Saccharomyces cerevisiae S288C: one gene and its partner. The gene in region 2 interacts genetically with the main gene of each other region. Each region holds a gene or a part of one and is shown on either strand. Other genes may lie near its edges.

The links.
Region 1: mutations in BNA4 (region 2) and TNA1 together harm fitness more than expected from each alone (negative genetic interaction), as found in Saccharomyces cerevisiae (3 studies listed by BioGRID).

Annotation. Positions count from the first base shown.
Region 1 is NC_001139.9:1,008,501-1,016,774, forward strand, and holds TNA1 (Tna1p), read left to right. Parts: upstream 1-3,984; coding exon 3,985-5,589; downstream 5,590-8,274. Other genes in the region: ssDNA endodeoxyribonuclease RAD2, read right to left, coding at 1-2,266; APL6 (AP-3 complex subunit beta), read right to left, coding at 5,821-8,250. UniProt on the Saccharomyces cerevisiae protein: Involved in the uptake of nicotinic acid.
Region 2 is NC_001134.8:37,226-41,027, forward strand, and holds BNA4 (kynurenine 3-monooxygenase), read left to right. Parts: upstream 1-1,919; coding exon 1,920-3,302; downstream 3,303-3,802. Other genes in the region: ATP1 (F1F0 ATP synthase subunit alpha), read left to right, coding at 1-1,465; condensin subunit BRN1, read left to right, coding at 3,606-3,802. UniProt on the Saccharomyces cerevisiae protein: Catalyzes the hydroxylation of L-kynurenine (L-Kyn) to form 3-hydroxy-L-kynurenine (L-3OHKyn). Required for synthesis of quinolinic acid.

The DNA of each region.
Region 1 (8,274 bases), on a different chromosome or scaffold from region 2:
GTTCGAATAATTCATCCTCCACAAAAGCGTTCTCGGCAACGTTTCTTTCAGCAGAAGTGGACAAAGTCGTGTTTTTAAATGTATCAAACTCTTCTTGTTCCTTTATCATATTTTCTACTATGTTATCTTCTTCATCTTCGGAGAAGTCATAGTCGAATATAAGAGGCTTTCTATGCTCCTTATTTATAGATTCGACTTTTCTACTATCGTTATCCTCTGCTTCTTTTGAAATCTGAGATTTAGTGGGAACGTCCTCAAATAGTTCTTCTGATAAAACTTCTAAGTCATCGTCCTTGTTTTCATCATTGGAGCTCTCTTTCTCGCTTTCTCTTTCTAATATTTCCGTAGCATTTAAGCCTGTCAAGAGTTCATAGCTACTCCCTTTATTGGTAGTTTCTGCTCCACTTTCTTGTTCATTTCTTACGTTTTTATCTTCCACGAAATTTGTTGTGTTATAGGGATTATACAACTGCTGGGAAGCAGTTGAAGAAAACCAGCTCGGCATTTCAGGAATTGGAGACTTTTCCTTCGTGGCTTCTTGGGACACATTACTCTCGGTATTCTTTTGAAAAAGCAGGGAATTTTCATTGTTAAAATCAAACTGTGGTATCTTGTGAGAAATAAAATTCAGGTTTTGCTCCCCCTCTGTTAAAATAGCCCCTTTATCCTCCTGCTGAGACGGTGGCCTAAACTCAGAAAGAACTGTCTTGCTGGTCCTTTTGATGACCGACTCTGATTTGCTATTCAAATTTGTGACATGATACGGTTGCTTACTATCCGGTTGTGCGCCAAGTAATCCATACTGTACTATTGGTGGACGAGCCTCTGTACCTTTTGACGTTACCGGCTTAGCGATTTTTGATTTGTCGTCCGCTTCAGGTTTCTTTTCCATCTTAGAAAGTTGCACTGCCTCCATCATTTCAATTTCCTCAATTTGTTTCAGGTAATCCTCATCGTCGTCTTCCACGCTGATTCTGCTAATTCTCATTGTTGGAGTAGTCTTGGAGGGCGATGCCTGATCATGTCTTTTGTCCAAAAACGATTTACTGCCAGCGTTGTTTAGGGATTGGCCCATGTAAGGCAACCTTGCAGCTTTCAAAGAAAAATCTTCCACAAACTTGACGTTCTTGGGCTTGAGTTCAACTTCTTCCCACTCACATTCATCAGAGTCACATCCCTCATCTTCTGACCGGTTACTCCTTTTCTGTGGAGCTGTCGTCGCGTTAGAAGACTCATGTCGCACTATTTTTAAGGAATTATCTTCCAAATCATCCCATCGGAGCACGTCCCCGTCCTCAGCATTACTATCTAACTGCTTTACCAAAGCGCCTGCATCTTTATCGTCTATTACGATTGCTTTTTGCGCATCAGAGCCATCGTTTGCCCCTAGTCCAAGAATCCACCCGTTATTAGTCTTAGTCAACTTGTACTCTTTACTCTTTTGGCCGGATATCCTATTGATCACCTCCTCGTTCAGCTTAGACGCTCCACCATCCTGAAACCCAGTAGTGTTGATTAACTTTTGAGTAAAAAAATTCCTCCTTTTCACCATGTCTATTTGAAATCTTGAGAAATCCATACTATTTGGGAAGATGGTCTCCAATTGTTCTTTCGAGTATCCCATCCTCAGTCTTGATTTCAACCTCAACGACGATAATATCAAATACTGTGTGGCCTTTGGCAGCTCTTCAAATTCGGCCGATGCTGGATTTATAGTGTCTAAATCAATGTCTTCCAGTCCATCACCGTTTATCGAATTCATCAGTTTTTCAAAAGTTTTATTAGAGTTAACTCTTGCATCTTCCTTATCGTATTTGAATCCCGGTATATCGGGCAAGTCCCACTCGTCCTGAGGTTTGAAGATCTGCACACTACTGCCACTACTCGGTGTAGAGTTTTTTACGTTATCGTTTGAGCCGTTTTGCAATTGTAAAGCCAGCAGCTTCCTAGCGGTGGATTTCGCACTCTCTCGTTTTCCCTGTCTTCTTTCTTTCCTCTGCCGTATTGTTTCCCTTTTCAATACGGGCACACCACCATCAAAGACGAATACCGGCCTAATGCCAAAGTATAATAGCTTACAAATTCTTCTAAAGAACCCAGTAATATGAGAATTCTTCACTGCATTCCCCTCCTGATCACGGACAGCTTTCAAAAACTGATATATCCAAATGGAGGCATCTACTGCCATTCTCTTATCTTCCAAGGATTCCAGCCTGACCGGTCTTGCCGTAGGACCTGCAATATCCCAAAATGAATGCACACCCATGTCTGAAGTTTGGCGTTCTCCCGAAAATGCTTTTCTTCATGGATGACGTGTAGAACCTTCAATGATTTACGTACAGTTTTTCAATCCCTTTAAGGTCTCTATATGTGGCGGCATCTTTTCTTTTTCTTTTCTTTTTTTTTTTTTCACTCTCCCTTTTAATGCCTCCACGGAGGTTCGAATGGGTTATACTAGAAAGAAAAAAAAATAGTGATAATTAACAATGAAAAAAAAAAAACAGCAACAAAATGTGGTATTGGGGTCACACCACTCATTGACTCACATCCTCTGGAAACATCAAAAAGCTACCAAAAAAGAAAAAAAAAAAAATTCAAGTGCGAAGTTTCCGCATATGCAAACCTTACTTATTGTATAATATTGGTAACAGCAGCTACTAAGCTCCCTGACTCTGATTTCTCTCTCTGTCTCTTTTGAGGAGTACCTTCTGCGCTACTGTGTTCCAATGGTATCTGCGCCTTGAAAATCAATCACAAACGCTCTTGCTATGGCCTGCCTTGGACACGATACGTCGCTGCTTATGCCGCCAGGTGTCAGTAAATGCTCTGACGCACCCATTCACCCCGCGCACTAATTTGCAAAATTTGGGGGCAGTTTGGGAATACTCCATAGAAAAAATCGACTTCAAATCAATTCCGCACAACGTCGCCGTGTTGGCTAAAGTGAACGGAAAATGGACGACATGGTAAAAGAACAGATATGTACATATACAGAAGCCGCGATTTCACATGCCGGCCATTATGGCACACAACCAGGTCTTGTACTGTCACTATGTGCGTTCCGGAACGCCTGTACAGTCCATGGTGAACCATTTATTTATTTATTATTATTATTTTGTACATTATTATTTATGCTATATGTTATTATTATTATCACTATTTAATATTATTATTCGGGTCCAGGTGAAATAACAAAGTCTGGCGCCAGTCACTTGTCTGGGTGCCCGTATTCTCTGTTACAGCGGTATCCCTCTGGATTCTGCAATCGTCGCCGGCTTCTACTAATTTTTCCTTTCCTTTTTGTTTTTTTTTTTTTTTAGTTTTTTATTTTCTAGTTTCCTGCTCGTATTCTGTTGGTTTTTCCAGTGTCTCTCTCCTTTTACAAGTCACCCATTCTCTGCGAAGAAGCGGTCGCACCAACAAAATAGAAAATACCACCGGACGCCGGATCGCTTATTACTCGCAATCATAGTTACCAATCACAGCCGGGCATACTCGGGATCTACCGTAGAATCCTATGCGTCACACATGAGGACAGGTTACGAACCGTCGAAGGCTTCGCGGCGTGTGTGATTAGTATTGTTTTGACCTCATCCATACACCCTGAAATATCTGTCGCATCTCCGATTACGTTAAAAATTCTGGATAATATATAAACCATGAGTTTTCCTTTCTTTGAAGTATGTTCCTACTCGAGATCCTTTTGTTATTTTATTGCCATTTTTTTTTTGTTTCATATGTACTTCTTATCTACTATTTATATTTCTCTATATTAACTAACTCTCCAAGCTATAAGCATACGTCCATATTTACTGTCTTAGAAGTCGTATTCACATCACAGTTTTCCCCCTCTTCGCCTTTTTCAAACTATTTTCCCCCGTGAGACAGCGACTGAAAAAAAAACGACTGCGCAGAAGGCTTATATAAAAAAAAAAAGAAATATTTCTTCACTTTCGAGCATTGAACTATTGTCATTACCTCTAGATGAGCAACAAATTTACAATGGAGTCACCTAAGCATTTGGTGGATGATGTGCTTTTCATATCACCCACCAATGATGGATCAGAAGAAAAGCCTACGGAAGTCACGTTCCAGGAAGATGAAGGCCATGACGCTAGCTTGCATAATCGCAGCCATGACAAGAAGTCGGAACTTGCCACCGAACGGGAAATTATGGCTACTACCACGGATGATGACGGCATCCCCTCCCCTTCCCATCCAATGGAAAAGCGTGTCTTGCGCAAAATGGATATATACTTGATTCCTCTTATGGGGATGCTATATTTCCTTTCTAACCTGGATAAATCGAATATTGGTAACGCAGAAGTTGCAGGTCTATCCAAGGATATCCACCTTGTAGGAACGCAATATAACACATGTGTCACAGTTTTTTTCGCGACGTATGTTCTTTTCGACCCCATAGGTACTAACCTTCTGAAAATTATGGGTCCGCCATTAATGATGAGTATCTGTTTGACCTGTTTCGGTGCTATTTCGCTCGGAACTGCTTGGGTTAAGAATTATGCTCAATTGATCGTTGTCAGACTACTACTGGGTGCCTTTGAAGGTATGATTTATCCCGCTATTAACATGTACCTTTCAGTCTGCTATAGAAGAGAACAATATGCTCTGAGGTTCGCTTTTGTCTTCAGTGCAGCCTGTTTGTCTTCATCTTTTGGTGGGCTGATTGCTTATGGTTGTTCCAAAATCAGCGGTTCTCTAAAGGACTGGCAATACATTTACATTGTCGAAGGTTGTATCTCTTTGGGGTTCGTACCATTCTATGCCTTCGGGTTGAGCAAAAATTTGGAGGATTCGTGGTTTTTCAATAAGGAGGAAAAAGAGTACATTTCCGAAAGATACAAGACTATGAACACTTTTGACCCGGACGAAAAATTTGAATGGTTCCAAGTGTGGCAAGCAGTTAAGGATGTCAAGACTTGGGCTAGTGCTGTGGCATTATTCGGTATCGATTTGACTACTTTTGGTCTAACAGTCTTCTTGCCGATCATCATTACCAGTATGGGGTTCACTAATGTCAGAGCTCAATTAATGACCGTGCCCATCTATTTCCTTACAGCAATTGTGTTCTTCATTTGTGCCGTTTGGTCTGATCGTATAAAGTTGAGATCTCCATTCATCCTGGGTGCTTGTCTGACGACTTCGATAGGCATAGCTATCGTCCTTGGTTCTCAAGTTCATGGTGTGAGATATTTTGGCGTTTACATTCTTTGTATGGGTATTTACGTTAATGCTGCCTGTAACTGTTTATGGTTAAGTGGTAACACTGGTAATTACTTCAAGAGAGCCACCGCTTTAGGAATTAATCTATTTTTCGGGTCTGGTTCAGGGTTGGTCTCTGGTCAAATTTTTGTTGCCAAAGACAAGCCAAGATATATCAAAGGGCTGTCGATTAGTCTGGCCTTTCAAGTCTTCTCCATATTTATGACGGTTGTGCAAATTTTCCTATACAAGAGGGAAAACGATAAAAAGAAAGCAATAATAGATCGCTGTAATGAATTGGGAGAGCCTATTCCATACGACGAAAGGTTAAGCGACAAAAACCCTGAGTTTAAGTACATGTATTAGGCTTGACTTTCTTCACCCTCCACTTTTTTTGCCCCTCGTTATGAGTGTGTTTGCAATTTGTAACTTTTCTTTTATATTTGTATGTATTTTTGTACTAAGCAAATTCACATGAAACTTTGTTTACCAACTTCTCTTTTGTTTTCGTCCCAAACACGTATATTACTGGGAAGATATACATGCCTATATCTATATCTATAAATATACATATTTATATAGTATTATCTCCGAGTTCTAAAGCTCCAGATGCGAAGAAGACGTTCCCGAAGAAGACGTTCCCAAAGAAGAGTCACTATACTCATCATCGTCACTGCTCTCTTCCGATTCGTCTTCATCCTCGTCACTGCTTTCTTCCACCACCTTTATAATTTTCCTTGGTTTACTCTTCCTTTCTGGAATGTCGGAAAAAAACTCGTCCAGGCTTTGCAAACGATATTTCTTCCCGTTTTGAGATGTGAAGGTGTTTACGTTACCTTTACCTGAGATGCTATTGCTATCGCCGTCATTGATCCCAGTCAATTTTGCGTTGGAGCTAGATGTGAAAGATCTTGCTGAGTTGTTGGTAATAAAAGACTGCGATGAAAAACTTTTTTTGTATTTGTTATAGTCTTTCAATTCTGCGCCTTCTCTAATATCGTTACCTGTCTCGCCAACCTCAGTAATTTCAGTATTCCAAGGAAGCATTCTAAAAAATTCTTTTATTTCTGGGGTATGTGTTTCCAATCTTGCAGAAACGATAAAATCGTCACTTCTTGCCGTAGGTTTAGGTGCTTGTAATAGTAGTGACACAATTTCATATTTCCCTGAATCAAACAAGGATGAAATCATCCTGGCTCTATCCCTAATATCAAATTCGTCATCATATTTTGCCAAGTAAAGGACCGCATTGTACATTTGAGAGATTCTTGAACCACTAAAATCATAGTATGGGGGATTTTGGTTATTTTCTTCGCTTCCAGTAACTTGCGCTTGCTTAAAATTATCAATGTCATATGACAACAGTTTTGCTGATAACACTAAGATCTGACATCTTGTCTCAGGACCCTCATTTGAAAAATTCTGGATTAGCCTCCTCAAAACGTCCGGACATATCTTAAATTCAATCGAGGCAATTTCACCAAATAACCAAACAATACCTGCACGAGCATTATCAGCCAAACTCGTTTGAACTGTTAATAAATCTGCAAGCTTGAAGATTATGCGAAGATGTTTTGTAGGATTTTTTTGCACCAGCATCCTGATAACATTCACGTATGCATCTAGGACAGAAGCAGAGAGGTTGTGGGATTCCATATGATCAATTAACCACTTCATTACATGTGATTCCCAACTCGTTGACAATTGGCCACATCGAGATAATGACTTAACCGCCATAATAACAACATTTTCTGGGAAATGAGCACTGGCAACATAATATTTCAATTCTTTGAATATTTCTTTAACGTTTGATTCATTTATTAACGTGGACAAAATTTGGATCTTCCAAATTGATGCCACAATAGGATCTTTGGGGAAAACGTAAAATTTCTTGGTGTAGGGTAAAAATAGTGTCTGGTCTAAGATCGATAAGAAGTGAATTGCTTGTAAAAGCATTTCTTTGTTACCTTGGTTTTCTGTCATGGTTACCGTTCTAACCAATGCTTCAATAAATTTAGTATTTTTCATCTGCAATGGTGAAGCTAACTGATATAGCGCATTGCAACACGATAAAATCACTGTAGGGTTGGAACTATAAATTAAGCAATTCAAACTCTGTAGAAATAAATCTAAATCAGGGTCATTTACCACCTCGTAAGATGGGTATTCAATCTCGTTGTATTTATCTGGTAAAGGACAACTCCTTGGGGAACCTTCTGATGATTTATCGACCACAGTTGGTTTTGGTAAATACTGCTTACAGTACTTGATTAGCAGCTCAATTAAATATGATTGTGACCACGAATCTAGTTGCTTAATTATTCTACAATATCTGCGAAAATGTCCATGCAATAGCTCCAAGTGATCCGCATAACATTCTTTGTAAGCTAGGACAGCACAGGATATCACCTTAGGATCTGTATCTGCCATTAATTCTTTCAGAATATCCAACAATTCTTCATGATAGTCATTCTTTCCAGCCCTATATAATTTGATAATGGCCAAGGCGACTTCACCACGAACCATTGCAGATGGATCTGTAACCAATTTCTTGACAGTATGCAAAATTATAGGTGCTAATGATGACATTTTCATGTCAGAAAGGGCACTCAAAGCAAAGCATCTCAGTTCGGAATTCGAATCAGACAATGATTTTTGAAGAGAATTAATAGATAACAGGGTCAGGTTTGGGTCATTTTCTGCAAATCTAAGTAAATACAGGTGAATAAGTCTTTTCACTTTGGTGTCATTAGTGGTGATATTCTTTACAACATCAGCAAAGTATAATTGAACGTCAATAGAGTCATCATCGGAAGCCATTATAGATATTATTCTCTTCATTGCATCTCTAACTTCTCTAGAGTTCCTAGAATTTAACAAGGTGACTAACTGTTGAGGATTGATGTTTTGAGAATAATAAGTATAGGAGGATTCACCCAGCTTAGAGGTGGCTACCGCGGCAGCTTCCCTCGTTATTACTTTGGCCGTATCCAACGCCGATGCAATACGGTGAATTGAATCTACCATTGCTGGTTGTCCACTTTTCGATTG
Region 2 (3,802 bases):
CGAGGCCAATTTGAACGAAACTGGTAGAGTTCTTGCAGTCGGTGATGGTATTGCTCGTGTTTTTGGTTTGAACAACATTCAGGCTGAAGAATTGGTCGAGTTCTCCTCTGGTGTTAAAGGTATGGCTTTGAACTTGGAGCCTGGTCAAGTCGGTATCGTTCTTTTCGGTTCCGATAGACTGGTTAAAGAAGGTGAATTGGTCAAGAGAACCGGTAATATTGTTGATGTCCCAGTCGGTCCAGGCCTTTTGGGTAGAGTTGTCGACGCTTTAGGTAACCCTATTGATGGTAAAGGTCCTATTGACGCTGCCGGTCGTTCAAGAGCTCAAGTCAAAGCACCAGGTATTTTGCCAAGAAGATCTGTCCATGAACCAGTTCAAACCGGTTTGAAAGCCGTTGACGCCTTGGTCCCTATCGGTAGAGGTCAAAGAGAGTTGATTATTGGTGATCGTCAAACAGGTAAGACTGCTGTCGCCTTAGACACCATCTTGAATCAAAAGAGATGGAATAACGGTAGTGACGAATCCAAGAAACTTTACTGTGTTTACGTTGCCGTTGGACAAAAAAGATCTACCGTTGCTCAATTGGTCCAAACTTTGGAACAACATGACGCCATGAAGTACTCTATTATTGTTGCAGCTACTGCATCTGAAGCCGCTCCTCTACAATACTTGGCTCCATTTACTGCCGCATCCATTGGTGAATGGTTCAGAGATAATGGAAAGCACGCTTTGATCGTCTATGACGATTTGTCCAAGCAAGCCGTGGCATACCGTCAATTATCTTTGTTGTTGAGACGTCCTCCTGGTCGTGAAGCCTACCCTGGTGATGTCTTTTACTTGCATTCAAGATTGCTAGAAAGAGCCGCTAAGCTTTCTGAAAAGGAAGGTTCTGGTTCTTTAACTGCTTTGCCTGTTATTGAAACCCAAGGTGGTGATGTCTCCGCTTATATTCCAACCAATGTTATTTCCATTACCGATGGTCAAATTTTCTTGGAAGCTGAATTATTCTACAAGGGTATCAGACCTGCCATTAACGTTGGTTTGTCCGTTTCTCGTGTCGGTTCCGCTGCTCAAGTTAAGGCTTTGAAGCAAGTCGCTGGTTCCTTGAAATTGTTTTTGGCTCAATACAGAGAAGTCGCTGCTTTTGCTCAATTCGGTTCCGATTTAGATGCCTCCACCAAGCAAACTTTGGTTAGAGGTGAAAGATTGACTCAATTGTTGAAGCAAAACCAATATTCTCCTTTGGCTACAGAAGAACAGGTTCCATTGATTTATGCCGGTGTTAATGGTCATTTGGATGGTATTGAACTATCAAGAATTGGTGAATTTGAGTCCTCCTTTTTGTCCTATCTAAAATCCAATCACAATGAGCTTTTGACCGAAATTAGAGAAAAGGGTGAATTGTCTAAAGAATTGTTGGCATCTCTAAAGAGTGCTACTGAATCATTTGTTGCCACTTTTTAATGTGAACTAAAAAAATAAAAATGAATATAAGGTACGTCTCAAAAAGAAATGTAAATATAGAAATTTTAAAAAAAAAAACGAAAAAAAACATAACTAAATTTAAAGTGCAGCCAAACAATAACCCTGAAAAATCTAAATATCTTAGAATTTTTTTATTTTGATTATTATATATTATTATTATTCTTATGGTAAATAATGCCCCTACTTTTCTTCTAAGGAAATGAGTTACTACAAAAATAAGGAAATATCGCCTGCAAGCGGTTTTTATTTTGGAGTTGTTTTTTTTTTTCCCACAATAGCCTCTAGTTTATTCCATTCTTAGCACTGACTCTTTTTTCCGCCACTATTTCTTATAAAAGGCCCGAATTTCTGGCACGGACGTTGTTTTTAATAATAAAATATTGAATGACAGTTAAAAAATCACGTAGTCAGTTAATCTGTTTAACTTGAAAATATGTCTGAATCAGTGGCCATTATAGGTGCAGGATTAGTAGGCTGCCTTGCAGCTTTGGCATTCTCCAAAGAAGGCTACAATGTCACACTATATGATTTTAGACAAGATCCTCGATTGGACACCACCAAAAATAAAAATTTGAAATCCATTAATTTGGCTATTTCTGCTCGTGGCATTGATGCTCTGAAATCAATAGATCCGGATGCTTGTGAACATATTCTGCAAGATATGATTCCCATGAAAGGCAGGATGATTCATGACTTGAAAGGCAGACAGGAATCACAATTGTATGGCTTGCATGGAGAAGCTATTAATTCTATCAATAGATCTGTATTAAATAATAGCCTTTTGGACGAATTAGAAAAATCTACAACAGAACTGAAGTTCGGTCACAAATTAGTCAAAATCGAATGGACAGATGATAAACAAATCTGTCATTTTGCCATTGGGGAAGATTTGAAAACCCCACATACTGAAAAGTATGATTTTGTCATAGGTTGTGACGGAGCATACTCTGCGACGAGATCGCAAATGCAACGTAAAGTTGAGATGGATTTTTCACAAGAATATATGAATTTACGTTACATTGAACTTTACATCCCGCCTACTGAGGAATTCAAGCCAAACTATGGCGGAAATTTTGCAATAGCTCCTGACCATTTGCACATTTGGCCTCGTCATAAATTCATGTTAATTGCGCTCGCCAACAGTGACGGCTCGTTCACTTCAACCTTTTTCGGTTCTAAAGATCAAATATCAGATCTGATAACTTCCAAGTCACGTGTGAGGGAATTCTTAATCGAGAACTTTCCCGATATTATTAATATTATGGATTTGGACGATGCTGTCAAAAGGTTTATCACTTATCCAAAGGAAAGTCTTGTCTGTGTAAACTGTAAGCCATACGATGTACCAGGCGGAAAGGCCATCCTACTCGGCGACGCTGCCCATGCAATGGTTCCATTTTACGGCCAAGGTATGAATTGCGGATTTGAAGATGTGAGAATTCTTATGGCGCTATTGAAAAAGCATTCAGGAGATCGTTCAAGAGCCTTTACTGAGTACACTCAAACAAGACATAAGGACCTAGTTTCTATTACTGAGCTGGCAAAAAGGAACTATAAAGAAATGTCACATGACGTTACATCCAAGCGGTTTTTATTAAGGAAAAAGCTAGATGCTCTCTTTAGTATTATAATGAAGGATAAGTGGATACCTTTGTATACAATGATATCTTTCAGATCCGATATCTCGTATTCTAGAGCTTTAGAAAGGGCTGGAAAGCAAACACGTATCTTGAAATTCTTAGAATCTCTGACACTCGGTATGTTATCTATTGGCGGTTACAAGCTTTTCAAATTTTTGACAAGAGAACGTTCCTGAAGCCAGTTTATTCTTGCCATCCGTGTACGCTAGGAGAGGATTATTAAAATAAGTGATATATACATATATATATATATATATATATATATAATACACTAATTATTTTATGTGATGTTGATCACGCGAAACGGTAAACGGCTCTGTTCGCGCTTTCTTTGTTTACATTTTAGTGAAGTATTGTCAAGATAATATCCATATGGTTGAACTTTTTATATTGGCTAGTTAAATACTCTATTTATTGCACCAAAAAATCATCTTAGTGGACTTTTTGGAGCAAAAAAAACCAGCAGGTAGTTATATAAGATGACTACACAACTAAGGTATGAAAATAACGATGACGATGAAAGAGTAGAATATAATCTCTTTACCAATAGATCCACCATGATGGCAAATTTTGAAGAATGGATCAAAATGGCTACAGATAATAAAATCAATTCCCGAAATAGTTGGAATTTCGCATTGATCGACTATTTTTATGACTTGGACGTTTTGAAAGATGG